Tamandua tetradactyla: one gene and its partners. The protein of the gene in region 4 interacts with the protein of the main gene of each other region in a biochemical or structural test. Links are inferred from orthologs where the notes say so. Each region holds a gene or a part of one and is shown on either strand. Other genes may lie near its edges. The genes, in order: CCNB1, PRKCD, CCNE1 and H1-5.

What was found.
Region 1: of the proteins of H1-5 (region 4) and CCNB1, one has a biochemical effect on the other in vitro, tested with the Homo sapiens proteins (2 studies listed by BioGRID). The link is inferred for Tamandua tetradactyla from reciprocal best matches to the Homo sapiens genes H1-5 and CCNB1.
Region 2: of the proteins of H1-5 (region 4) and PRKCD, one has a biochemical effect on the other in vitro, tested with the Homo sapiens proteins (2 studies listed by BioGRID). The link is inferred for Tamandua tetradactyla from reciprocal best matches to the Homo sapiens genes H1-5 and PRKCD.
Region 3: of the proteins of H1-5 (region 4) and CCNE1, one has a biochemical effect on the other in vitro, tested with the Homo sapiens proteins (4 studies listed by BioGRID). The link is inferred for Tamandua tetradactyla from reciprocal best matches to the Homo sapiens genes H1-5 and CCNE1.

What each region holds. Positions count from the first base shown.
Region 1 is NC_135335.1:117,328,373-117,335,543, reverse strand, and holds the start of CCNB1 (G2/mitotic-specific cyclin-B1), read right to left. Parts: upstream 3,014-7,171; 5' UTR 2,816-3,013; coding exon 2,795-2,815; intron 2,193-2,794; coding exon 2,022-2,192; intron 1,925-2,021; coding exon 1,772-1,924; intron 1-1,771. UniProt on the Homo sapiens protein: Essential for the control of the cell cycle at the G2/M (mitosis) transition.
Region 2 is NC_135341.1:32,530,753-32,538,050, forward strand, and holds the start of PRKCD (protein kinase C delta type), read right to left. Parts: upstream 3,001-7,298; 5' UTR 2,788-3,000; intron 1-2,787.
Region 3 is NC_135342.1:37,230,682-37,237,828, forward strand, and holds the start of CCNE1 (G1/S-specific cyclin-E1), read right to left. Parts: upstream 3,015-7,147; 5' UTR 2,811-3,014; intron 2,750-2,810; exon of another isoform or gene 2,649-2,749; intron 2,325-2,648; 5' UTR 2,296-2,324; coding exon 2,273-2,295; intron 2,166-2,272; coding exon 2,078-2,165; intron 1,896-2,077; coding exon 1,827-1,895; intron 1-1,826. UniProt on the Homo sapiens protein: Essential for the control of the cell cycle at the G1/S (start) transition.
Region 4 is NC_135351.1:30,971,333-30,976,646, reverse strand, and holds H1-5 (histone H1.5), read left to right. Parts: upstream 1-3,999; 5' UTR 4,000-4,062; coding exon 4,063-4,743; 3' UTR 4,744-4,803; downstream 4,804-5,314. Other genes in the region: histone H3.1, read left to right, coding at 691-1,101. UniProt on the Homo sapiens protein: Histone H1 protein binds to linker DNA between nucleosomes forming the macromolecular structure known as the chromatin fiber. Histones H1 are necessary for the condensation of nucleosome chains into higher-order structured fibers.

The DNA of each region.
Region 1 (7,171 bases), on a different chromosome or scaffold from region 4:
TCCTTAAGGAAAAACTATTGTCTTTTCAGATTTATTCAATTTCTCTTTAATAAGTAATTAATATCAAAAGTGAAATGCCAGCTTAAACTGAGCCAATTTGAAGTCAGCAGAACCTCAGTGCTAAAAGGTAAAATGTAGCAGGAGCAAATACTTTCATATTCTAGACCTTCCTTTAAAGAAAAGTAGTATCTGTTTATTAGTGCCATCTGTGAAGAATCTAAGTGACTGACAAGGCAGTCTTAGACCTGAACTAATGAGAAGCCAGTCTTTAGATGTATACTTTTTTCCCCTTCAAAATATGGGCTTCTTCTCACGGTGATTAATCATTTCCTTTATGCTCTCTTCCCGACATTATTCAAATATTTGAGCATGTTTTGCAAGTTGTCTTCTAAGGCACTGAATTCTTGAAATCCTTAAGCTTAGAATTTAGAAGAATAAATCAATGAGAGATTGATTCTAGAAACATGGGTAGCAGTAGGTGAAATTAGAGATAGCTCTACAGGTTAATGCTTGAGTTTTGTTTTGAGGGATGAAAAGGTTACCAAGTAGATGAGAGAAGGTGGGAGAAAGCATTCTTAGTAAGAAAGTAAAGGCAGGAATCAGTACAGTGCTTTCAAGGAAACCTTAGGTAGTTTGGTATGTCCATATTAATGACTGTCAGCTACATGTTTGATATGCTATGTTCCGAAGATCAATACTAAAGCAGAGAGGCTTCAAATCTCTTACCCTTAGATATCAACATCTAGGCTGAATAACTAGATGATAATAGATTATTTTCCCAACCTAAGTTTTAAAAATTAGAGCCTTGGAATACATTTCATTACAATATCTGTAGAATGCCCCATTTTCTGGATGGCTTGTCCTCCTTTCAGAGGAGTAGATATATTTATGTATCTGATATTTAATAAAAAGTCCTGGTTTTTAAGCCTAGCTTGTTAATTCATCTTCTTGCCTCCTTCTGAAGAGCTAGCTACATTATCTTTCTACCTCATACCTTCATACATTCCAATGTTACAGGCTAATTATCCAATGAACACATTAAAAAAGAAAATTCCCACCTTTAAGGCTCCTAAAACTGGAGCAGTACATTCTTCTCAAGGGAATTACCAAGCCTGTCATTTTTCTTGGGTAAAAAATCTGAGTTAAAATTCTTTTTCTTAGCAAGTTCTCTTATTATAGGATTTACATAGAATTGCTGGAAAAGTCAACCCTAAACAACTTTTCAGAGGCACACCTGAACAGAAGATACAAACCTATTTAATTCTGGTATTATCATGAAGTGATCTAATTAATGTTACACTAACACAGGATACCTAAGGAAACTAGGTGACCAAAAAAAGATTTAAGAGACTATTCTGTATTTCAGTCAAGAAATTTGAGACATGAATGGTTTGAACTTGGTCAGCAAAATCTTTGCTCCAGGCAGCTACTACTTAATACCATTAACAAAGGTGGGCAGTATTGGAGAGCACTTAGAAGCACTAGTTCTAAAGCCAGACAGCTTAGGTTTGAGTCCTGAACGTGCTACTTATTAGCTTTATGACTCTGGAAAAGATACTTATAACCTTTCTAAGTCATTATCTAAAAAGTAGAAGTAATAACAGCTACCTGAGAGAGTATATGCGAAGATTAGGCAAGTTAATGCATGAAAAGTACTTAATAGAGCCTGTCTCAGGGTATGAACTAAAATGTTCTATTAGTATTCAAATGTTATCCCATGCATTAGTCAAATGAGGGGAAAGGACACTAAAGTAGGTAACAATGCGTTTACCAAAATAGGCTCAGGCAAAAATTTTTCTTCTTTAATGGGTTCCGGTTCTGGTTCGTGTTCTGGCTCTGGCTCCGGCACAGGCAAAGCTGCTTTTTCCAGAGGTCTGGGTAGTTTTTTAGCCATAACTTTCCCAATAGCTGAAGCTTTTGCTTCCTGTAGATGAAAGGAAAGGAATGGAATATTCCACCATCAAGAGCCACAGTTGCGAGGTGGGTTTATACGGAGAAATTAGGCCAGGAAGCTAAGTTACCTTTTTCAAGGCCATTTTGGCCTGTGGCTGTTCACTGACTTTGTTACCAATGTCTCCAAGAGCTGTTCTTGGCCTCAGCCCTGTCTTGGAAGCTGCAGCAGAGGCCAAAGGTACTCGCTTTGCGCCCGCCATACTGATCTTCGTCTTATTCTCAGTATTAATTTTCGTGTTCTGCAAGAAGCAAGATCAGTTCAGAGCTGCTCAAGCCCGGCCGGGGTGAGTCGAGGGTTAATTAAGGTGCGGCACAAGAGAGGCGGAAATCCGAGTGAAATTGCGGGGAGGGGAAAACTGGGTCTCGGGGTCTTCTCTAAGGCCGTGACACGTTACTTCCCTCCCGGAACTTCACTCACCGACTGAGGGATTTTCGGGGAGTTGGGGCCAACTCTCAAATTAGCGTGAATCTACATTTGAAAGAAAACCTAAACAAAAGCTCCGATTGCAGGCACCTTTTCTCCAGGAAGGGAGCTTGGGAGCTTACTCGGCGGCCCTCCACCACCTTTTAAAAAAGGCTTCCCGTCAACGCTACAGCCCCCCCCCCCCACCCCAGTACTTCTCAAGGCCCTTCCAGGTCTTTCTTCGCCTTCTCTCCGTCCTGACTGCTCCCCACCTCCCCCAGCACACCAGGCGCCCTGGGCACTCTCTCCGAGACCTTCCGTCCTCCTCCCCAAATCGCTGCCCGGCCCTTGCCCAGTCGGGGAGTTCCGGCAGGCGACGGAGGACGAGAGGGCGCACGGGGGGAAGGCCACGCTTGCTCACGGCTCGCAGCAACTCACCCTGGTGACTCGGAGTGCCATGGCTTCTTCTTCACCAGGGAGCAGTTCAGAGGGAGAAGCAGAACCCGGGAGCCCCGGACCACCTGGGGACCAAGTGCCACCACAGAGCAACAGCCGTTCCTCCGCAGCACGCCGGGAGCAGCGGGGCCCCGCCTCGGATTTAAACCCCGCACTGCTCCCTCCTTATTGGCTGGTTCGTGGCACTCGCTCCCTTCCCATTGGCGGCTGCCAGTTCCTCCCAGAATGCGTTTCCAGGGCGATCCCGCGAAGCCCTTGGACAGGGGGCGGGGCCAGGGCGGGGCCAGGGCGAGGGCGCGGCCCCGGCGCGGGGGCGGGGGTGAGGGGAGTGGGCGGGGCCTCGCGCGGCCGGGCTCCGCGCTGCGCGCTCTGGGCGCGCTCTGGGCAGCCTCTGCACCTGGAGAGGCGTAGGTGCGCGCGCCGTGGAGGTGGCCCGCGGAAAGCGGCAGTGCGGCGGACGCGGTTTTAGAGGTGTGACGAGCAGTTATGGCTTCCGTCCTCCTTATTGATACCCCTTTCCTCTTCCACACTGGCGTGTAGCGTCAATATCATAATTCATGAAAGGCTTTGTTATTCATTCTTTCCTTTGATCATTCCAAGAGCTCTCCGGGGTGGAGCAGCTGAAGCTCGGAGAGGCTTAGGTGGCTTTCCAAGGATCACAAATGCTGGGCGCTGGGATTGGGTTAGGCTTTCGGATCCATGATGTTTCCATAACATTGTCTCAAGGATTGTGGCAGCTTCGGAACCTGCCCGATTAGTTCAATCAAATTGTTTCTCAAAGCCAATCTCTTCTTTTAGTTTTTTATGTGGAAATTATATCAAACTTAGAATAAGTCGCAAATATGAAAATATTGCAGCGAACACCTGTATAGTCTTTACTCAGATTCAACCATCTTTGCAGGGTGCATTTCTTAAGAAATTGACATTATTACAATACTTTCTTTAATCCAATTTTTATCCTAGTTTTGTTGATTGACCTAGTAATGTCCTTCATAGCATTTTGCCTGTACAGGATCCAGTCTATGATCAAATGCTTAATTTTCATGTCTTTTTAGCCTCCTATAATCTGAACAGTTTCCACAGCTTTTCTGTCTTATCACATTGACATTTTTGAAGCATACAAAAAAGTGTCCTTTCGCTTTTTTTAATAGAACTTTCTCACTTTTTTGTTTGTCTGCTGGTTCCTTGTGATTTTAATTGGTAATATGCATTGTTGGCTGTAATACTGCATAAGTGATGTATCCTCAGAGTATCAAGTCTATAGAAATACAATGTTCGTCAGTCCCTCATAGGTGATATTTTGTTCACGTGTTAAAAACGTTACCTGGTTTCTCCACTGTAAAATTACTGCTTTGTTTTTTCTTCTTTGCAACTAGTAAAGTGTCTTGGGGGAGACACTCTCTAAGACCATGCAAATATTCTGCTCTTCCTCAAAACTCCCTCTAGATTTCACATCCATTGATGATTTTTTTTTGCATATATATACAGGCATACTTACTTTATTGTGCTTCACTTTATCGCACCTCACAGAGTCCATTGATGATTTTATCTGAAACTGTCTTTATCAGGATGGTTGCAAAACAATGACTTTCCAATTCCAGCAATCCCTTCAGCTCTTGGCCTTCTATTACAATAAGCAAGAGATCTTCCTTCTTCATTTATTTACTTATTTGCTTATCTGTTTATTCTTGGTATGGATTCAATTCCTATTTTGCCTAAAGAAATTACACCTTTAGGCTCATTATATCTAGTAACTATTTTTTTAACTTTTTTTATTGTATAGTATAACATATATACAAAGCAAAGAAATGAAAAAGCAATAGTTTTCAAAGTACTCTTCAACGAGTAGTTATAAGACAGATCCCGGAGTTTATCATGGGCTACCATATGATTCTCTCATATTTTTTCTTCTAGCTGCTCCAGAATATAGGAGGCTAGAGGGCTTAAATATTTTTTTTATCACAATTGACTTTTTTCCTTTTTTTGTGAACAATAACATATATACAAAAAAGCTATAAATTTCAAAGCACAGCTAGTTGTAGAACATATTTCAGAGTTTGACACGAGTTACAATTCCACAATTTTAGGTTTTTACTTCTAGCTGCTCTAATTGATAGAAGAGATATCAAGTTAATGATTCAGCATTCATATTCATTTGTTAAATCCTATCTTCTCTGTATAACTCCACTATTATCCTTGATCTTTCCATCCCTATCTTTAGGGTTGTTTGGGCTATGGCAATTCTAAATTTTTTATATTGAAAGGTCTGTCAGTAATATGGGGTAGGGAGATGGAACTATCTGATGTTCTGGAGAGAATGGCTAGATTTCAGGACTTATCTGGACCAGGGACCCACCTGGAGGTTGTAGGTTTCTGGAAAGTTGCTCTAGTGCATGGAACCCTTATGGAATCTTATATATTGCCCTAGGTGTTCTTTAGGATTGGCTGGAATGGTCCTGGTTGGGGTTTGGCAGGTTATGATAGGTAGCAAGGTCTACCTGAAGCTTGTGTAAGAGCAACTTCCAGAGTAGCCTCTTGACTCTACTTGAACTCTCTCAGCCACTGATACCTTATTTGTTACATTTCTTTTCCCCCTTTTGGTCAGGATGGCATTGTTGATCCCACAGTGCCAGGTATGGATTCATCCCTGGAACTCATCTCCCATGCCGGCAGGGAGACTTTCACTCTTGGATGTCATGTCCGATGGAGGGGGGAGGGCAATGATTTCACTTGCAGAATTAGTCTAGCAACTATTTTTGAAAAAAAAAACAAGTTAATAACAGTCAAATAATGTTTAAAGTATAACACTGATTTCCATTATCTTATAAATATGACAGTTATACTGGTAAGGTATTTAGATAATGTAAAATCAAGCTGATGGTATCACATTACGGGAAACAACTAATGACAGTTTTCCTCTAAACTAAGTAATCAAAAGAAAAGGTCCTTGTGCTGGTTGGATTACCTACAGGCTTTTAAAATAGTGACTTCATAGATTTTGCTTTAAATGATTCTCAGACATTTGAAGCACAGCTACAAAATTTACCAAAATTACAGGCAGTGCCTTTTGCATCTTTTGTATTTATGCTGAGTGACATTGCTATCAATGTAGGCCTTGAGAGAAGGAATCTGCCCTCCACAAAACCTTTATAATCCATTTTTTGGTTTTAATAATATTGATAGTCTCTCAGATAACCTAATCTTCTCTCATCCATGTGCCTATTGAAATGCAAATCTTCAGTCAGTAGTCAAGAAACCCTGATCTCCATACTTTTATAAACAGGTTTTTCCCTTGGCTTGAAGATTCCTGGTTTAGAAGGCTGCATTCGAAACTGTTCCTTACAATTGCAATAATAGTATATGAAACCATATAGGCTAGACTGTATTTACATTAACAGTTCATCAAAAACACTTTAACTCGCTTGCTGCAATGGAGCTGGTCAAGAGAATCACTTCAGGAGGGGCCAAGATGGCAGCTTAGCAATGTGCACGTTTTAGTTCGTCCTCCAGAACAACTACTGAATAATCACAAACAGTTCAGAACAGCTCCTGGGTCACGTCAGTGACCGGACACACGGCATACCCCAGTCTGGACCAGCTGGACCAGCTGCGAGCACCCCCCAGAACCGTGAATTCCCAAAGCTACAGCGGCCGGCGCCCCTCCCCCACAGGCCGCTTCCCAGAGGGGAAAGGAAAGGAGTTTACCAGCAGCAGGGGCTGAGCCCAAGCAAACGCCAATTGTGGAATTAGTTAACAAATTCTGACTACTAAAAATAGGCCCCCAGCTCAGGTGAATCTGGTCAAAGCGGAGGTTGCTCATTGGGCTAATGGAAAAAGAAAAAAAGAAAAGAAGCAGAGGTTTTTGTGGCTGTGTTTCTACAAAGGCTAGACTGCCTCTGGATTCAGTAGCAGGGTACTTCTCAGGCTGCAACTGCCTCAGGCATAGGCAGAAACAAGCTTGTTTCAGGGCTTGTCTCGAGCCTGTGCCTTCCCCAGGGGAGGGGTGAAGCCCAATTCAGGTGGAATCCTTCCCTCAAGGAATTCAGACACCAGAGCTTGGTATTAAATTAAAACCAGCCTACAACCTGTCCTCTGTCTCCACCACATCCCCAGCAGGGAGAGTCTGCCAAAGTTAAAGGTACCACATCATCTTATGCTGGTGGGACCTGAAGGCAGACAAGCCCCACACACTGGGCAAGATAAGAAAAACAGAGTCCAGAGACTTCACAGGAAAGTCTTTCAACCTGCTGGGTCTCACCCCCAGGGAAAACTGACACAGGTGATTTCTTCCCCCTGATAGGAGGCCAGTTGGGTCCAGGAAAACCCAGCTGGGGTCTATAATACCCAAGTAGACCCTTC
Region 2 (7,298 bases), on a different chromosome or scaffold from region 4:
ATGAATGGCAAAGGCAGCAAGAGGGCTTGAGTCTCCTGGCTGCAAGGCCTGAGCACTTTTACTGTAGGCCAGGCTATGACTCCACCAAAGATTTCCTTCCCCAGAGGTGCGCCCCTTCTCCAGATACAGACCCCCATAACTACTCCCTTGGGGCCGATGCAACCTCAGGTTTTATCTTTTTGTCTGCACTTTAAATAACTTCTAGTTTTGATTTAAACTCCAATTACCTATACCATCTAAACTAAAGTGTCAGTGCCCTGCAGTCACAGCTCCAAATCATCCCCCACCCCACTGCACCCCCTCCCCCAATGCTGTTGCCAAGCCTAGGAGTGGTGGACGGGTGTCACGTAGACTGAGTGGGGGGGGGTGCTGGGGGCTCTGTCAGCCCCTCCTTCCTCCTACAAACAGTCTGGTCAAAGGGGTAGGAGAGGTAACTGACATACCAACAGACAGCAAGGCAGGAAATTGGGTTGGAGACTATCTAGGCTTTCATTATCCCTAGCTCCCAAGAGAATGAGGACCATAAAGTTGGGGGCAGAGATGGGGAGGTGGGGGATGGTTACTAAACTATACTTAGTATGTGCCAAGCATTCATTATGAGTGAAGGCTGTGCTAAAGGACTTTCAACACAGGATCTCCAGCCCTCACAGCAGCCTTCTCCATTCTGCAGATAAGGAAGCTGAGCCTTAAAGGGGCCTAGCTCAGGGCTTTTGCTCTTAAGACAAAAGACTTGAGCCCAAGTCTTTCCTGGTTCCAAAGTCTTGATCACAACACTACAAACCCCAGGGTTTTCCCTTTGGTGTCTGTCAACTTGGGAGAGTGGAGGCAGGAGCAGGGCTGGGCTTGGTGCATGTCATGTGCACACCCCCACCCTTGCAGCCTCCCACACGCTCAAATATATGCTGGGGACTCTCACCCCACCCCGCTCCCCCAGCACTGTTACCTGGGACACAGACCATGCACACACCTTGTCACACCCCCTCCTGCACCAACACCCACACTTAGGGCACTCTCAGTTCCCCACAGACACAGTCACGCCCTGAGCACACACACTCGCAGTTTCATACAGTCAGACTGTGAGTCTCCCACCAGTCACTCACTCACACTGGAACCTCACTCCACCAATGCCTCACCCTCAGCCAGGGCTGTCACACACTGGATCCCCTGCACCATCTCACGGGCAGGCACAAACACCTCCACATCTCACAAACACACACACAAACACAGGTCACACAGCTGCTCTCTGCCAGCTTGTCTGCCTGCCCCACCCCATAGTCCACAGCAGGAAGGAGGAAACCCAAGGGACCAGTCCCTTCCCTCAGTGACCAGGGCAGCCTAGCCCCAGCAGCTCAGTGGCAAAAGGAAAGGAAGAATCAAATATGTATACATACATACACACACACAGACGCTTACGTGAGGCTGGCATCCTGATACCAGGGGCTCCCACGATTAACAGCTCAAATGTAGTCATGGCCAATGGGTCACCCCATGACACACCCATGCAATGCGATACCCTCCAGACACTCACGGGGATATACACACACACACACACACACACACACACACACACACACTCCAACACATGGAGAGGAGTCTGGTGACAAAGAACACACCAAGACATGACACATACATAGTTGCAAAGGACACATGCAACCAGACACACACATACACATTGACTATTCACATACATTAAAAAGGAAACACACACAGGGGCAAGTCCCAGACCCCATGACAAAGAATATACAAGAAGGCACAAACACAATATACCCACATGCCCAGACACAGGCAACTCATTATAAGATGTAGGATCGGCACATACAGTATGGGGACCAGAGAAAAGGACCCTCCCCCATACTATCAAATCATTATGACCAGGTTTAAGCAGGGGGGTTGGTGGGGCTCTCCCCTCCCCCCAAAAGTTAGGGAAGTGGGGGCTTTTCTGACCTTGCTCACCTCCTACCCCACCCCCCACCCCAGTGGACAAAAGGGTGTGCCAGGCCCCTTCCTCCCCTTCCCCTCACCAGGCTGGGGTGGGCTGGTGGCGCCTGGGCAATGGAGGAGCCTGGCTGGGGACAGATAACCAGGCAGGGGCCACCGGAGGAGGGGGCTGAGAAGAGCTGAGGGGTGGAGAGGCGGGGCCGGAAGGGGGATGGAGGCTGGAGGGACGCTCAATTCAGAGACAGCTGGAGAGACAGAGACATCGAGACTGAAAGAAGAAATACAGCAAGAAGTAGGCCCTGCGCGGACTGGACAGGGACCCAGGACGGGAGGACAGACGCGGTGGCCAGCCTGGCCTCGGCCCTGGAGTGGAAAAGAGGACGTAACAGATAGACAGGGGACAGCGGAGGGAGAAGCGGACATGGGCAGGGGGCGGGCTCCGGCAGGACAGGACCAAGGGGTCCGGGGAGGGGGGCGATGGGGCAGGCGGAGAGATTGACACAGAAAGGGGCTGGGGAGTGCTGGACAGGAGGACATAGAGCGATGGGGATGGACAGAGAGCCCCAGAAAGACTCGAGAGAGACAGACAGACACTTGGAGGAGCTAGAGGCACAGAGGCTGTGTAGAAGGGCTAGGGACAAGGGGCCTTCGGCCCCGCCATTTGACGGAGGGACCGACAGACGGATGGACCGAGGGACCAGAGGGTCTCCGCGGACGGCGGTACTTTCTCTGGCCGCGGCTTAGTTTCTCGGTTTCGGAAACGGGAACTGGAGACTGGGAGGGGATTGAGAGGAGTGGCGCGCCCTCCGGGTAGCCCCGACCCCGAGCCCAGGCCCGGCCCTCACTCACCTCCGGGCTCGGGGCCAGGCGCCAGGGGTCTCGGTGGGCGGAGTCTGGCTCCCGGCGTGACTCCGGGACTTGCGCGGGCGAGGGTCGGTGCGGGTCCTGACTGGGGCGGACGAGGAGATCTATGCGGTACGGCCCGGGTCTCGGATCGGCTGGCGGACGCCGGGGGTCGGACGGGGATTCGGGACTCCAGCGGGCTCCCGCTCCTGCGCCGCAGCACACGGAAGTGCCAGGGGGCGGGGCGGCGCGACCTCACCCAGGTGCCGGCAGGCCCCGCCCACGGCCGGCCCCGCCCCTTGGTCCGCCCTCGCCAGCCCTGAGCCGGGGTTTGGTGTCTGCCTGGCTCGGTGCGCGTGGCTCCCTGTCTGGGCCTCTCAGCCCTTCCCCGCACACTTCGCGCTCTCGCCCGCCATGAGCGCGCGCACCAGCCCTCAGAGCGGATTCCGTTTTACAGGAGGGCGCTGAGACCCGGGCCGTGCCCCCCTGCCACTGCTCCCGTACACCCGGGTCCCCCTCGTCGGAGGCGCCGGCGGGGGTTCCCCGACTTTCCATGCTCCGGACTCTCCACTCGCCAGCTGGCTCGCCTCGCCCAGCTTCGCTCCTTCTCTTCCTGTTGGCTGGAGCGCGTCCGTGGCCGGGCTCGGTGCCCACAGCCAGGCCTGCCGGTCCCGGCCCAGACTCCAGAGACGGAACTGGAAAGACTCCAGGGCGGGAGCTTCTGGCTGGTCCGCTGCTACTCCACAGGCGGTTCTGGGTGCCGCCCCTATCCAAATCCGCCCTCCACCCCCCCACCAGTCTACCACTTTCCTGCTGCCACCTTGGGGACCTCCCCCAGCAGGCATCCGAACTTCCTTTCCAGACCTGGAACCTGGAAATGTTAGTCATCATTTATTCATTCATTCATTGACTGAGTGTTCTCCTGGGGACCGAGTGGGGCCCAGGGGAATTCATTCCTCTGCCCCCAAAGCTCTGAAAGCTATTAGCCCAATACTCATCCAAAAAATGTCACCTCCCAAAAGGCAAAAAGGGAGGTTTCCCACATTCTGGAGGAATAATTAGAGAGGAGGAAAGGGGAGGGTCAGAACAGCTTTTCCTAAGCCTAATGGATGGAATGGGGGACAATTCCTGAGGGGGCCTGAGTTGAGCAAGGAGCCCATGCAGAGGCAGTTAGCTGTGGCCAGAACTTTGATCCTCTCAAGGAGCAGGAAGGTGGTGGAGGCTGTTACTGGGATGTGATAACAGGATCAAGCAGACCTTTGAGGAGATGGATGGACAGAGGGATGGGGGTAAAAGGGGCAGAGAAGAATGGATGGGGCAACAGGGCTGGGACAGAATGGATAGGGAAGAGAGGCTTATAGGAGATAGGAAATAGGAGAGGATTGATGGGAAGCAGAAGGACTACAGTGAGGGGGAGGGGTGTATGGGGAAGGACAGAGGAGCTGCCACATTGTTCAGGTGGGAGGAGTCTGGGTTGAGGTCAGGGCAGATGCTGGCAGAGAAGGGGCCAGACCCAGATGGTTTGCCCAGCTGTGGGAATAGGAGGGGAGGGTTTTCCAGTGAGATTCCTGGGGCTAGTGGATCCCAAATCCAGTTTGAGTATGAGATCCCCAGTCGGGGAGGAGGGGGAACAGGGCTAGAGGCAGAAATACAACACTCATCTGAAGTCCTGGGGTGGGAGTGTGCGTGGAGGGGAGGGCAGGGGGTGCTTTACACCTGGGAGGAGGGAGGACCCAATTTGAAAAGAAAATAAAGATGAGGCTCCCAGTCCTGATTCCTCTGCTCCACCCAAGGAGAGCTCCAGGTGTAGTCACCAGACCTTTCCTACCATACCCTGCATGCAGTTCAACTTGGAAAAAGGGAAAGAACAGTGGCTGTCACTGACTGGGACTTCGCCAGTGTCAGGCCCTGTGCTAGGTGCTGGATGTGGGTGATCTGTTCAGTCCTCGAGACCAAGTGAGGTGAGGGCTGTTGTTAACACCAGTTTTAGTGAGGAGAAAACTAAGGCTCAGTGAGAGGTGATGCCACTTGTCAAAGGTTCTATATTTGTAAATGGCGGGGGCAGGATTCAAATTGAGGTCTGCTTATCTCCAAAGCCCATGCCTTACTTTTGAATCCGAGGTTCTTAATCTCAGCACTACTCGTCTTTGGGCCAGATAGTTCTTTGTTGTAGGGTCCATCCTCAACCTGTGCATTGTAGGATGTAGCAACACACCTGGCCTCTATCTGGTAGATGTCAATAGTACACACACACACACACACACACACACACACACTGAGTTGTAACAAACGAAAATGTCTCCAGACATTATTAATGTTCTCTGGGGGCAAAATCACTCCTTGTTGAGAACCACTGTTTTAGATCTGGGCTAGTGTTGCAGGAGCAAGAAGGATTTGGGTTAGATACTAAGAAGCATTTTTCTGGCCCTCAGGATTATGCAGACTCATGATCTTAGGGACTGAGAGCACACATTCACTTCAGCTAATTTTCTTCCTCTGGAGACTCCAAAGGAAAGTGTAATGCACTTAGACAAAGGGCAGAACAGCTGAGGCTGTGCAGCCTACGCCCTGGCCAAGGTAAAGGAGGGAGGCAGCTGGGCTTCCCTCCAGGGACAGGTGTGTATCCAGAAGCCTGAGGAGGATCAGGCTTGAGTGAGGTCCAGGGAGTCCAGGTCAAGCTTGGCTAGAGCCTCCCTGTACCCTGGATCTCCTCCTGAGTACCGCACAGAATGGGCCAGGACAGATCCAGATGAGCTTGTTTCTGTGCCCCCACAACCTGCCTGGCACTAACCTAAGAAGGGCCTGCTGAGGCCTGGGGACAAGACTTGGCTGTGCCACTTGGGCAGATGAATGCATCTCTCTGAATCTAAGTCTGCTCTGTGAAAGGAGCTGATGACCTACCTATTGGTAGGTCATCAGAGTGGGTAGAGTGGGCACCCAGTGAGGACTTGGACCACATTGGCCACATACTATGGGTACGGTCATTGTGCTGAGTCACAGATTGTCAGCCTCAGAAGAGCCCTCAGTGGCCTTAGTGATGTGGGCCATAAATCCCCTGGCAGGGCTGGGCCCAGTGCAGCAGCCAGAAGTGGTACTTTCCTTTCCCCCTCCTCCATGTTTACAGCCAAGGAAATGGGACTGTCCAGTGTAACAACTGAGCAGCATCCTGGACTCCCACCTCCGGCATCCACTGGGGCTGTTCCTCTACAGTCGCCCTGCAGGGGATGTCCAGAAGAGGGGCAGCCTGCCCCGGGCCCTGTCTTGCCCAGAGGCCATGAACACTGGGCAGCCCTCAGGCCTTCTACAGCAAGTTCAGGATTCAGTCAAGCAGCCTTCCTCTGACCCCTCCCCCAGCAGCTGTGGGTGGACCAGGGACCCCCAACTGCTCCCTGCCAGTTGGTCCTTGCCTCAGCCTCTTCCTCATTGGCCCCTCACTGTACCTCCTGCTCTCTCTTCTCACTCCCTCTCTTTGTTTCTGCCTGTTTTGCCATCCCTGTCCCTGAAGCTTTGGCTGCCAGCACCATCCCCATCACACCCAGAACGCTGGCCCAGCCAAGAGACAGTAGGCTCCTGTTTCTGGGGCAGGAAGTCCAGGCCAGCAGGGACCGTGCACCTGCACAACTGCGGGGGATGGCAGAACCTGGGAGGGTTCCACTGGGGGTAGGTGGGTAAGGAGGGCCCTTGAGACATGGTCCAACCTGCAGCCATGCCTCAGGCCACCATCAGCAGAGGCTTCAGCCTGGGGCACTGGGTGTGGGGGAGGGTAAGGGCAGGTTGGGCAGGCAGTGGCCAGGTTCACATCCTGGCTGTGTCCTGGACCTGTAATTTAAGTGCGCCTCAGGGTCCTCATCTGTGGAATGGAGATGATAAGAGTAATATCCACCTCACAGGCTTGCTGAGAGGATTGAAGAGACCAGGCTCCAGGGGCTCTAGCAGCAAAGCTACTAACTACAAAGAGTTGGGAAGGCCAAGCTAATGGTCTCCAAGTTCCTTCCTCAATTACATTTGTGCTTGGGTGAAACTTGCGAAATACTTGGGGTAGACAAGGGGAAGATGCTTTCTGAGAGCACAGGGCTCAGGGATTTTTTAAAGCCGTACAGGGGTACACAGCCCCTGACTGTCCCCACCCAACACTGACCAAAGCACAGCCCTCACTGGCAGCTCCTGGGCTTACCTGTTCCCCAAAGAACGTGGAGGGAGGGAGGATGGGGGTTCTTATTTCCGAGCAATCCCAGGCAACAGCCATCCTCTCCGCATAGAGTCCCAAGGAGCCGCCAACTCTCCTCCACTGCCCCCACCTTCCCCACCTCTGTGTCCCAGGATCCACCCTGCTCTGGCCTGCCACGTCTTAGGTGCTGACACCTTGAGTGTCCCAGATGCTCTGGGCCTCACCAGCCCCCTCACCTGCCAGTGCCTCAGTCTCCCTCTGCAGAAGACAGCTCACCCAGCCCATCTTGGCTGGTGGGAAGCTGGGAGCTTGCGGGTGCCCCGGGCTGGAGGACGGCCCCTCTCAGTGG
Region 3 (7,147 bases), on a different chromosome or scaffold from region 4:
AGAGCCATGGCCCCATCTGAGGTACCCTAGAAACTGCCCAGGTTATCTGTAAAAAGAGAAATGATTCTAAAACTTCAAGAAGTCAATATGGATGGATCTGCTTTATCTTCAATTGGAAATTCCTTAATTTATTGCTGGAAAATAAACAATCTTGGATTTCACAAAGTAGAGATTCATTTTATAATGTCCACAAAATCAACTTGACTAAATTTTTTTAAGGGAAAGAAAACTTGGAGTGCTGTGTCCATTCCCTTTCTTCATGTGAAATATTTCTCCTACCAGAGAAAGACATCAATCCCTTGTTCAATATTCAGTGGCTCCTCCCAGGAAATCTTCAATACTAGGGTCTTTCATGCAGTGGCCAACTACTCTAAAAATTGTATGGGAAACAGGCTTTGAAGACCTTCCTTCTTCTAGACCATGCTGTTAGGGCCACTGCGTACTGCCCCATGAAGCAATGTACTGTCTGTTCCTAAACTAGCTGGGACCACTGGCCTTGGGGTGAAGATTATTTCTGCATAGCTTTTATCTGCGACAGGCTCAGAAGGCCTGACCAGCTAGTTTGAAGATAGGATGCACCTCTACTTGAGCCATAACTACAGCCCTCACCCATTTCTGGAGGTAGAAAGATAATACGAGCTTTTTCTGCAAAAAACTTGTGGTATTATAGTAACAGTACACTCCACGAAGTAAATTTAGCGGAGGGGCAAGAGAAAGGGACTAGTTGACAAAGCATGTATTGAAACACACAGAATGTTTCATTAATACTCTCACTAAGGCCAAGTTAACCTAAACCCCAAACAGCAGTGATCACTGTATTTGCTGGACAGGCTAGATCTACCAGGGTCAGAAAGGGGGAAAAGATTTGAGATCAGATCTGGGCAGGTTGGGTGTGGGAAAGAAGGGTTAGCAGAAAAAGGGTCCTAAAGCACAGTTATAGATTGAATCATGTTCCCCACAAAGATATATTCAAGTCCTAATCCCTGGTCCTGTGGTTGGGAACCCATTTGTAAATGGGATCTTTGAAGATTTTATCATGTAAGGGAAGCCAAACTGAATCAGGGTGGGCCTTAATCCAATATGACTAGAGTATTTATAAGCCGAGGAGATTTGGATATAGGAGGAGATGGGGCCATGTGGGAGAGGCAGAGATTGAGTTATGGATTGCTGGCAAACCACCGCCAGAACACTACAGACTTCAGAAAAAACATGATCCTGCAAACAACTGGATTTGGGGCTTTTAACTGCCAAACCTGTGAGACATTAAATTCCTGTTATTAAAGCCCAGCAGTCTGAGGTATTTTGTTACCGCACTCCTGACAAAATACGACAAGCATACTATGACAAAAAAGTAAGTGTGAGGGGGGAGAAATCATTGCTTTCCTTACACAAGCCCCCATCATCATAGTTATCTCAAGAGCTCTGTGTCTAGAAAGCTCCCTCCAGTTCACAGGTCTTTGAAGATAAATTTGTAGGCCCAAATCTGCCCCTGGCTTGCATTAGACTCTGGGTTACTTTCTACCTCTGCCTGGGCCTCAGTTTACTCCTGGGTAAAAGTAGAAGATTATTTGATGCCCATTTTGGTTCTTCCAGACATCTGTGCATATTTGTACTCAGAGGGTGCCAATCGGGAGTGCAAGACTTTCCTGGAATCCTGAGGTTGGCAGAGGTCAGTGTCCACAGATAGGCACAGAGTTCAGCCATATGGACTATGGCTGTAGTTGGGGGAAAGGGCTTCAGCAGGTAGCAAGGGAATATAAGACCCAATTTACACCCCCAAAAAGTGGGAGGCCCTCCTTGGAAGCCTTAACAGCAAGCATACATACCTGACTACCACAGTGGCTTCTCACAGTCCTGCCAATTTTGGCAATTTCTTCATCTGGATCCTGTAAAAACTAACATAAAACAATCCAAAGACAAAACACACAGAGAAAAAAAGAAAGTTGCTAAGGTTATAAGCACCATTTCTGCCAAACACACCCCCAACTAACCTCCTTAATATAAATATGTGGGAAGGGCCCAGTCTGGTACCCAGGTGAGATGGGGGGACCTCCCCACCTGTCTCCTTTGTACTTACAACGGCCACATTTGCCTTCCTTTTCCTGGGGCGAACAGAAGAATCGGCGCTGCCTTCCTCTTTCATGGTGCCCCGATCCTTCGCATCCCTGCAAAGCCGGGCAGCACCGTGGGCGGAGTAAGCTCTCCCCAAATCTCATCACCCCTCCCCCACCGAGACACCCCTCCCCTCCCCCGCAGCGGCCAAACCACTCACCTCTCCTTTCTCTCTCTCGGCATGACGCAAGACGCAGGCTCCGACCTCAGGCCTGGGGGACACCAATCGGGCAGTGGGATGAGGGCGGCCGCCGGGGGGGAACCAGGACCCGCTTGCCTGCCGAGGGCACCCCTCCCCCTCCCGCGCAGGCGGCGGCGGGAGCCTCCCGGGCCGGTCGGGAAAATGGCCGATGGGCCCGGGGTGGCCTGTCACCCGTGGCGCCGCTAGTGGCCGGCGATCCTGGGTCTGAACCCAGGTTAGGGGGCCCTGACGCCCCCTCGAAAACTCCTGCCGGCCCATCGTCTTCCTCGGGGCCCGGGCTGCCTCAGTCTCCCCTCAACATCTAACCCCTCACCGTGTCTCCGAGCTCCCTTACCGGGGGACCCCGCACTGACGCCTCAGGGAAACCGAAGAACCGGCCACAACTTCACCCCCTCACCCCTCGGCCCGACCCGACCCGACCCGGCCCGACCCGACCGGGTGTCCCAGGAGTTCTAGCCCGCCGCCCCGGTCCCAGCGGCCGCGCCGGGACCCTTACCCGAAGCCGTCTCCTCGGCAGGTAGGCCGGCACGAGCCGAGGTAGGGGGTGGGCGGCGAGCTAGAAGCCGACGGCGGGTAGCAGCGAGCCGAGCGCGCGGCGGTGGCGGGATCCGCGCCTCCCCCTACTCCGCGCTGGCGGCCGAGGCGGCTGCTCCTGCGCCCGGCTTCGAGCGGGACATTTAAAAAACCTAGCGCGCGGAACCGGCCCCGGCCCGCCCTCGCGCCCTCCCGCCACCCCTGCCCCGCCCCGCCCCGCCCCGGCTCCGCGCCCCTCAGCAGCCGCCGACTCGACGGGCCCGCCCAGCTGCCGCCCTCAGGACCGCCCCCGCCGCGGCGCAGGCCCGCTGAGGCGCGCAGGGGACCGTGGGGGCGGGGCCACTGCCGAGGCGGGGCCTGGGGGGGCGGGGCCAAGTGACAGGGCCTGCGCACCGGAGGGTCGGGACGCGGACGTACGAGGCGGGGCTGAGGCCAGGGGTAGGCTCTTGCAGCCGGAGGCGGGACCAGGTCCGAGCTGCGGAGCCCGCGCGGAGCCGGACGCGGGAGAGCCGGTCGGCGCGCGCGGGGAAGGGGCGGGGCCTGGCGGTGGAGCCCTCGCGGGACCGGCGGCGGGAGACTGCAGGCGCGAGCGCGGCCGAGGGGCGGCCCCTAGTAACGGGGGCGGGGCCTAACGGCGCTTTTGCGGCAAAAAGCCGCGTGGCCGGCGCGGGGGGTATGTAAACACTGCGGGTCGAAAGCGTTCGCGCCCTGGGCCGGGGTAGGGTCGGACCAGGGGTCAGGGGGGACGGATGCCTCAGAGGGCTCGACCCGGAGGACTCGCCGCCGCATCCCGCTGCGCGCATGGTCCCTGCTGGCACGTCCTCCCCGCCCCGGAGACGCAGGGTTCCGGGCCCTGGGTCCGGGGCGGGGACGGGCCCAAGGTCACAGCGCCTGGTCGCTGGGCCTGAACTGGAGCTTCCGGCCCCCAGGCCTGAGAGCCCCCTGTGGACCAACTGTTGGTTCTGGCCGCAGGTGGCGCGCTCATCCGTCCATCTATCCGTGTGTTTGTTCAAGTAAAATCGAGCGTCTTCCATGTGCGTTTTGCTTGGGCGCCCCTCCCCCACAAACCCTTGTGGGAGCGTGAGAAGGCCTTACTGATGCCCGGAGGCCCAGGGTTGCCTCCATTGCTTAAAACTTTCCTGTTGTTTCCCATCAACTTTAGGACCAAACCCACACTCTTTCCCTGCCCTATATGAGCCGCCGCTCGCCTCCTTCTCTCCCCCTCATAACTTTCTGGCCACCGTCTGTTCTCTCTCACCTCGGGGCCTTGGGGCTTGGTGTTCCCTAGTCTGGCCCACTTGGGCTGCTTATCCTTCTGGGAACCCTTCCAGGTGGTCAGTGACAGCTTAGTGTCCCTCTCCCCGGGAGTTCATCTCCTCATGGCCTTGCTAAGGTTCCTGCCCAGCAGTTGTAATATGTCTCTCGCTTCTTCTTTGTTTCCTTGTTTAGTGTCACTCTCTCTACCTTGTCTGTCTTTTTATCCCTTGCGCTTGGTATAGTGCCTGCAGGAAGGGGGAGGGATACTTAAATTGTATTTGTGAATGAATGAGTGGTTGGAAAATTATATTGGCCAAGATCTTCTGGAGCTTACTGCCTATTGGTAGAGACAGATACTGATTATTTCCACTGGAAAGTATCTTTTGTATTCAACTTCTAGAAGGAGTGTGTCATTAAGGGATCCTGAACACCCCCTAGACCCTTCCTAATCCATGTCCTCAGTCTTGTCCCCCTCCCCCATGACTGCCTTGTGTCCTCAGAGGTCCTGGCCATGGGATTCATACCCTCGCATGGGACTCAGAGACTGAGGCTGCGGAGTTAACTTACTAGGATGGCGTAGGTATGCATGGAACTTAGACTCCTGAACTTCCAGCCCTGTGCCTTTTAGTAATAACAGTTACAGGTAGCATAAACAGCACTTTCCAAATGGCAGCTTTGGGCTAAGTCCTTCAAAACATGATCTCAGTTATAAACTTCACAATAATCCTATAATGTTGGACGTTGTTTGGCCTATTTCACAGAGGGTGACTGTTTTCTAGGGTCATTGTAAAGACCAACTGAGAAAATGGAGTAGAGTACCTGGTACATAGTAAATGCTCAATAAATGAGAGTTTTCATAACAGTGTTAGCACGACAGAGTTTTCCTTGGTGAGTGTAGCAATTTGCATTTCAACCAGCAAAGAATTAAGAGTTCAGAACGGTACACTATAACCCAGGTAACATTCACCAACAGTAAAGTAGATACATAAATTTTGGTATATTCATTCGATAGAATACTATACAGCAATAAAAGGAAGAAATCACTGGAACATACAATGATGTGCATAAATATTACACACATAATGTTGAGCACAAAAAGCAGGCACAAAAGGGCACTACTGTGTGGTAGAATTCTCATCTGCCATGCCAGAGACTCAGGTTCAATTCCCGGTGCCTGCCTATGCAAAAAAAAAAAAAAAAAAAGAGCACTGCTGTGTACCGTGTGTTTTCAATTATTTGAAATTTAAGAAAACAAAATAGTCTGTGTTGGCAGTGGTCACGACACTCGTTACCTCTGGAATGGGGGTGAGGTATTGCTGGGAGGGGGCTGAGGAAACCTGTGTATAGACATGTTTTGTATCTTGATCTGTGTGGTGGTTACAGGGTGTATACCTACATAACAATTCATTGAGCTATATACTTCCTATGTGTGCACTGTACTGAATGTAAGGGAGGAAATAATTTTTCAAAGGAGTAATTCAAAACAGGGCACAATCCCTACCCACTTGGAGCTTTCAGTCTGGGAGTCACAGTACAGAGTGATAAGGGGAGGATTAGGAACATCCTAAGGGCTATGACTTCTCATGGGGAGGATCTTCTGATGCCAAGAAGGCTACACGAGAAAGCAGCAACTGAGCCAGGAGGATAGAGGAGTATTGTAGTGACAGGAAAGACAAGCATCCAAGGCAATGGAAACAACCTGCACAAAGGTGTGGAGTCTTCAGAGGTTACTGAGGGCGGCTTGTTTGGGGCAGCTCACCTTTGGTTATTTGTGTTCATTTCATTCTGTGCCTGCCTCAGGTCCAGAGTTTCCAAGCAGTGGCTCGGTCTTGGGGAAGACTGTAGATTGCATCAGAGGGTGTGAGCTAGCTGTTGCTAGCTCCCCTCCTCCATGAGACCTTGGCAAAGTTCCTTAACCTCTCTGTGCCTCAGTTTTCTCTGTAAAATGAGTCTGTAAAATGAGTCTGGTCATTTGCTGTGAGTAGTAAATATATTAATATCTGTAATGCATTTGGAAGCGTCTCTGGCATAAAGTAAGTGCTTGGTATGTGTTGAGTGTTATTCATGCAGAAATTTGAGGATGTTCGCTTAGTTTCATAAGTAGCCCAGACCCTGATGATGGTGGAGAGGTAAGGACAGGACCCAGGATGCAAGTGTTCAGGAGAAGTCAGCCCCAGGGGGCTACAAGAAGAAACTCCTTTCTAGATAGGGCTCTATAACCTGGCCCCCCAACCTTCAGGAGCTCAGGAAATGGCCTGCTGACAGTAGCTATGTGCAGTGCTGTGTGCATTCTCCTGGGCTCCTGGTCTACCCTCACTAGTTCCTCAAAGGCATCCTAACAGAACAGTCAGGAGTGCTGCTCCTGGTGAGGGTGGATCACGGGAGGTGTGGGCTGAAGCTGGGAGTGGAACTGGCTGAAGTTTTGCTGTTGAGCAGAGCTGAATGACTGTGACTGCCTGGGTGTGCCAAAGGAGGAGGGTCCAGTGAGACTGCACATGGGAATACTAGAAAAGCAGGGCCAAACTGGCTGTACAATGGGAGCTGTGGGGCAGGGGCCAGGCGGGATGGGCAGGACCAGACTGTCAACCAGAGAGGCGGCCAGAGCGGCTGCAGCCCAGCGCCAGGGAACTGGAGTGTGGGAAAGCCTGGGAGGCTTGGCTCCTGTCTTCCCTCAATGCTGAAAATCTGTCTGCACAGGCCTGCCAGGCCAACGGGAGTTAAGAGGCGGAATCCATGCTTCCTGTTGCTTAGTTATTATGGCTGGGAGAGAGTTCACACTGCTGTGGGTGGACCTGGAGGTGGAAGTTGGCCACCCATTGCCAAACCAGTTGGTGGTCCCACCCTTGGCTGAACCACTGCTTATATTGAAGAGCAAGTCCAGGGAATGCTTCTTTAGATGGAGGGGTGTGTGAGCAGTTAAGCCCCAATGGAAGTTAAAATTAGCCTTTACTTAAAGTTACTATATGATAGAATAACCATGGTGGCTTACATTTATGGATTCTGTGCTAAGTTCAGGGATGTAAAGAAGGGGTACTAATTTGA
Region 4 (5,314 bases):
AAATCAAGCACTTAGACGATTTCAGGGGTAAATTCTACCGGCGGGCAAGTTGGGTCGACGACAGCCAAATCCACTGTCACGTTTTATTCACATAGCCGGGGGGCATTTATGTTGTGTTTTTAAGTTCTATCACTCTATAAAGTCAAACGTAAATACGTGGCAACAGCTTCAAAGCCAATGAAGTCCCCTTTTACAGGAAAGTTGGCTGGCCGTGGCTTTAACAGTGCCTTGGGGTGGTTCTTAAGTACGCTTAAAATTTAATACTATAGGTATAGCGCTTAGCGACTCGGATTTCAAAGTACTTGAACCCCCTAATTAAACTGATCTCGTTTCCTTAACACGTTACTCAATAATGTTTTGTGGCAGGAAATCATTCAGGTCACTTTCTATTTAAAAAAAGCGCTAGGCGCTTTTAGATTCTCAAACCAACAACACACGTAATTCTGACGCGTTAAAAAAAAAAAAACCTACAGGCTTTGTTAAGAGGTAGGTAACTTTCTTTGTAGACTTTACCAGACTGAAATGGAAGTGGGAAATATTTCCCATTCATTAAGGGATTGAACAGAGAACCAATCAGGTGGGTGAGCTAGGTCAGTAGAAATCTGTCGAATCAGAACGCGACAGTCGCTATAAATACTGGGACTAACATCCTTCAGTCTCACTTCTGTGCGACTGTTACTCTTCTCCGTTATGGCTCGTACTAAGCAGACAGCTCGCAAGTCCACGGGCGGCAAGGCGCCGCGCAAGCAGCTGGCTACCAAGGCAGCCCGCAAGAGCGCCCCCGCCACGGGCGGCGTGAAGAAGCCGCACCGCTACCGGCCCGGCACCGTGGCGCTGCGCGAGATCCGCCGCTACCAAAAGTCCACCGAGCTGTTGATCCGCAAGCTGCCGTTCCAGCGGCTGGTGCGCGAGATCGCGCAGGACTTCAAGACCGACCTGCGCTTCCAGAGTTCGGCCGTGATGGCGCTGCAGGAGGCGTGCGAGGCCTACCTGGTGGGGCTGTTCGAGGACACCAACCTGTGCGCCATCCACGCCAAGCGCGTCACCATCATGCCCAAGGACATCCAGCTCGCCCGCCGTATCCGTGGCGAGAGGGCTTAAGTATACGCAGTGTTTCACTATAGTGCCGTCCAAAAGGCTCTTTTAAGAGCCCCTCAATTGTCAAGAAAGGAGTTGTTTATACCTTGTCACTACAAGCTGGACTCAACACCCAGTGCCACGTGGATTAAACTAAGAGGCTGAGTACCGATCAAACGTTGACATGGCTATTTCCGGCAGGGCAATTGGCACCAAGTCTGTAAATGGATAAATGCGTTCTGCATTCATGAGGTGGTATTAGGTTTTTTTTTTAACGCCTTAGCAAACTGAAAGGCTCCCATCCCTTCCTTAGTTTTATCTTGCCTATCCTTTACCGTTAACTCCCTCTCCTACGTTCCATTGTCCAGGTGTAGTTAAATTTAAATACTCGCTCCAGTCTTTCACAATACTCTTGTGATTGCTGTGACTCTCAAGTAGCAGCAGACAAGCAAAGATTGCATTTGAAAGCAGTTACTGGTCTCAGTAATCTCAACACTTAACCTAACACATTAGGACCTGCTTATTAGCCTGACTCAATATTTTTAGTTGTCTTGAAAGTTTCTATGTTCTTAACATATGATTATTAATTACCTAATTGTGTGCTACTTTCCTTTTAGGGTACACCCTTTTAACTCCAGGAGGTGGCAGTTAATGTCAGTGCAATTTTTTCTTGAGTGTTCTCTGGTAGGTTAATCTTCTAGGCCTTTGTTTTAACCCTAGTTCATACATCAGCCTAACAAAGGAGGCTTGTATTCCACCCACTGGCTCACTCAAGGTTTTTTTGGAATATGGAAATTGATTCTGCAAAAAGAAATAGATAGGACCAGCCAGCAGCATCTTCCTATAGATTCTTTAGAACTTAGAGCTCCTTTAGGGGCTGTCAGTTAGTTGTATGGTCAGCTTGATGCTGCTTCTTCCAAAGTTCATATATGGTCCCCCTCCCTAACCGCCCCCCCCCTATATTTTTCTACCATAATAGATCTGGAGCCTAGTAATCTAGACTCCAGCCCCATTGCTGCCAGCTGCTAGCTAAATATCTCTGGAAAAGTCACTCATTCTCTCTGTGTGTCTCATCTTATAAAGCCGTAAAATGTGCAAATGAATTAAAACCTGTAGAACATAGTTCATAGCACTTAGCAAATACTCATTAAATGTTAGCTGTTATTGTTGTTCCCAAACCCACCCCTGGGAGCATGGAGTTTTGAGATTTTTTTTTTCCTACCCCCGGATCCTTTGAAAATATTGTGATTGAACAGTGAAAAATACTTGATAAGAAAATTTCTTGCTTCGATTCCCTTTTCCTTAATTCTTGATTTGCATGGTCCTGAAAAAGGCCTGCAGCAATATACTATGATCTGTCTCTGTGTGGAGTTTGAAACAGCACAAAGACCAGTTAGCAAATATTTTAGGTTTTACAAGTCACACATGGTCTGTGTCGCTTATTCTTTCGGTTTGTGTGTGTGTTTAATGAGACTTTTAAAATGTAAAAACCATTCTTAGCTTGAGGGCCACATGAAAATGGGTCACTGCCTGGATTTGGCCCCAAAACCATAGTTTGCTATCTGCTCCTGGAGTTCCTGGAAAGAAGAAAAGGGGGATTGACCATTCAGCCATTCTTCCACAGTCGTACAGTTTTTCACTGGCAAGAACTAAGTGACTGTCAATTGCATTAGAGATCTAAATTATCATCTGATCTTCCTCATCAACCGAAATCAAAATCCTGTCCATTTTTCTCCCAAATATATATCAGACTCTTGCACCATCCATTGCAACCTCATAATCATTGCATCCATTCCTTTGGGGGGGGGGCGGGGAGATGCTTTCATGAATTATCCTGAACTTCTATAACTTCTAGTCCCTCAATATCCAAACCACCCTTCTCTCAGTAGTCAGATACTTTTCCATAATACAAGTCTATCCCTGATTAAATAGACAGAAATATCCCACTGGAGTCTCCTGGCTGCTTGGACAAGAGCTTTAAGACTCATTAAGTTTTGAGCTAAGGAGTCAGTGTCTGAGCACTGGGAAAAAAATGTCTTGTGAGCCTGACAGGGTCCAAGGTCATCTAAACAGTTGGTGCTTTATTCTGAGACTACTGCGAGCCCTTGAATAGTTTTCAGCAGGTTTGAGGGTTTTTGCTTAAAGCAAATCATCTGGCTATGCATTTTTTGTCATGGTAATGGCTTTGGTCAACTAAAGAGAAAGCATCTCAGCCAGTTCACATACCAAATTCAAAAGCAATTTGAATCCAGGTTTTTGGACTCTGAAGCCAGAGCTATGTGCACTCATCCTACTGCAATATGGAAGATGTCATTCTGGCAACTGACCTTTTTCAAGCTCCTAAGTTTCATTCTCGAAGGACACCAGCACATGGACACTCCTAGGAGGCAGAACCAAGTTTTAAAGAAGGGTCTAATGCAGTTAATTTGGGACTATAGGCAACCAGCTGCCCTGGCCTGTGTTACTTGGTACACTTGGAAACAAAGTTTCTCCCCAAACTAAGGAACACTGTGTCTTTCCTCCCGCAAAAATCAAAGGCCAAACCTATGGAAAAATTATCTTAGATAACTTTTGCTGGATACTTGGTAGAAATTTCTTGCAACATGCCACTAACTAGCAACTTGTGTTCAGCCACGTGGGTTCATATGAAAACCTGAAAGGATTTTCAGAAATATCTTTTATCAGTTGCGCACGGTTCATGAAAACAAAAACAAGTGTGTGAATCTTGAGGCTGTTTTCTTCCTTTGGAACTTAAAAGCGTCAAATTCTGTACTGCTGTTTTCAGCATTTAATAAAATTTTGGAGACTAACAAACACAACTTGGGAGTCCAACCCCGAGCGGCGAGAGCCCGAGGGCGGCGGATTGGACGCTCCACCAATCACACGGCAGCGTCGGCTTATATAAGCCCTGGGCAGGCCTGGGCCAGCATTGCTGAACTTGTTCGTTCTCGGTATAGAATCTCTTCTTTAGTTCATCCTCTCGCCATGTCGGAAACAGCTCCTGCTGAGACCGCCGCCCCGGCGCCGGTGGAGAAGTCTCCTGCTAAGAAAAAGGCGACTAAGAAGGCGGCAGGCGGCGGCGCTGCTAAACGCAAAGCGACCGGCCCCCCGGTGTCTGAGCTGATCACTAAGGCGGTAGCCGCTTCCAAAGAGCGCAATGGTCTCTCCTTGGCCGCGCTCAAGAAGGCGCTGGCGGCCGGCGGCTACGATGTGGAGAAGAACAACAGCCGCATCAAGTTGGGACTCAAGAGCCTGGTGAGTAAGGGCACGCTGGTGCAGACCAAGGGCACCGGCGCCTCCGGTTCCTTCAAACTCAACAAAAAGGCGGCCTCTGGAGAAGCCAAACCTAAGGCCAAGAAGGCCGGTGCGGCTAAGGCTAAGAAGCCCGCCGGAACCACGCCTAAGAAGCCCAAAAAGGCTGCGGGCGCGAAGAAGGCGGTGAAGAAGACACCGAAGAAGGCCAAGAAGCCGGCGGCGTCAGGCGTCAAGAAAGTAGCCAAGAGTCCTAAGAAGGCCAAAGCTGCCGCCAAGCCGAAGAAGGCGGCCAAGAGCCCAGCCAAGCCTAAGGCCGTGAAGCCGAAAGCGGCTAAACCTAAGGCCCCTAAGCCCAAGGCTGCCAAACCCAAAGCTGCAAAGGCTAAGAAGGCGGCTCCCAAGAAGAAGTAGGAACCTGGTGTGATAGAAAGTGAATAAAGCCCCAAAGGCTCTTTTCAGAGCCACCCAAAGGTCTCATGAAAAAGCTGTGCACTATAATACCAATCCTCAAACCTCCTGTCTACCTCCTTGATGAATAAACCTTCATCAGTGAGTACCAGCTCCTAGGGGGGCTTGTGTGAACAATAGTAACCCTGCAGCTCTGTCCACATGACATTTCTTTTAAGATTGTGGGACAGTACCCCTTCCGGCTACTTCCAAATATTTATTTGGTTCTCTTAATATTTGTTACATCCTATGTCAGAGGTGCAAATTTGGTCATTTAGTAAAACAGCCTGCCTGTTTATAATAAATTGGTTTAGGCAGAGCAAAGCGCCCCGTACGGTAAGGAGTTAGCAGTTTACTACACTGTTTCCCTGCAAAAAATTCTCTTAATGTAAATTGTCTGCAACCTACTTTCGACCTGATGCTCTTTACGGGGCAGCTACGAAAAGAGAAACTAATTTTAAAAACCCGCGCCATACTTTTTGATTGGTCGAGTGTTATTCTGGCAGTTGACGACTCACTTGTATGATTTTGATAT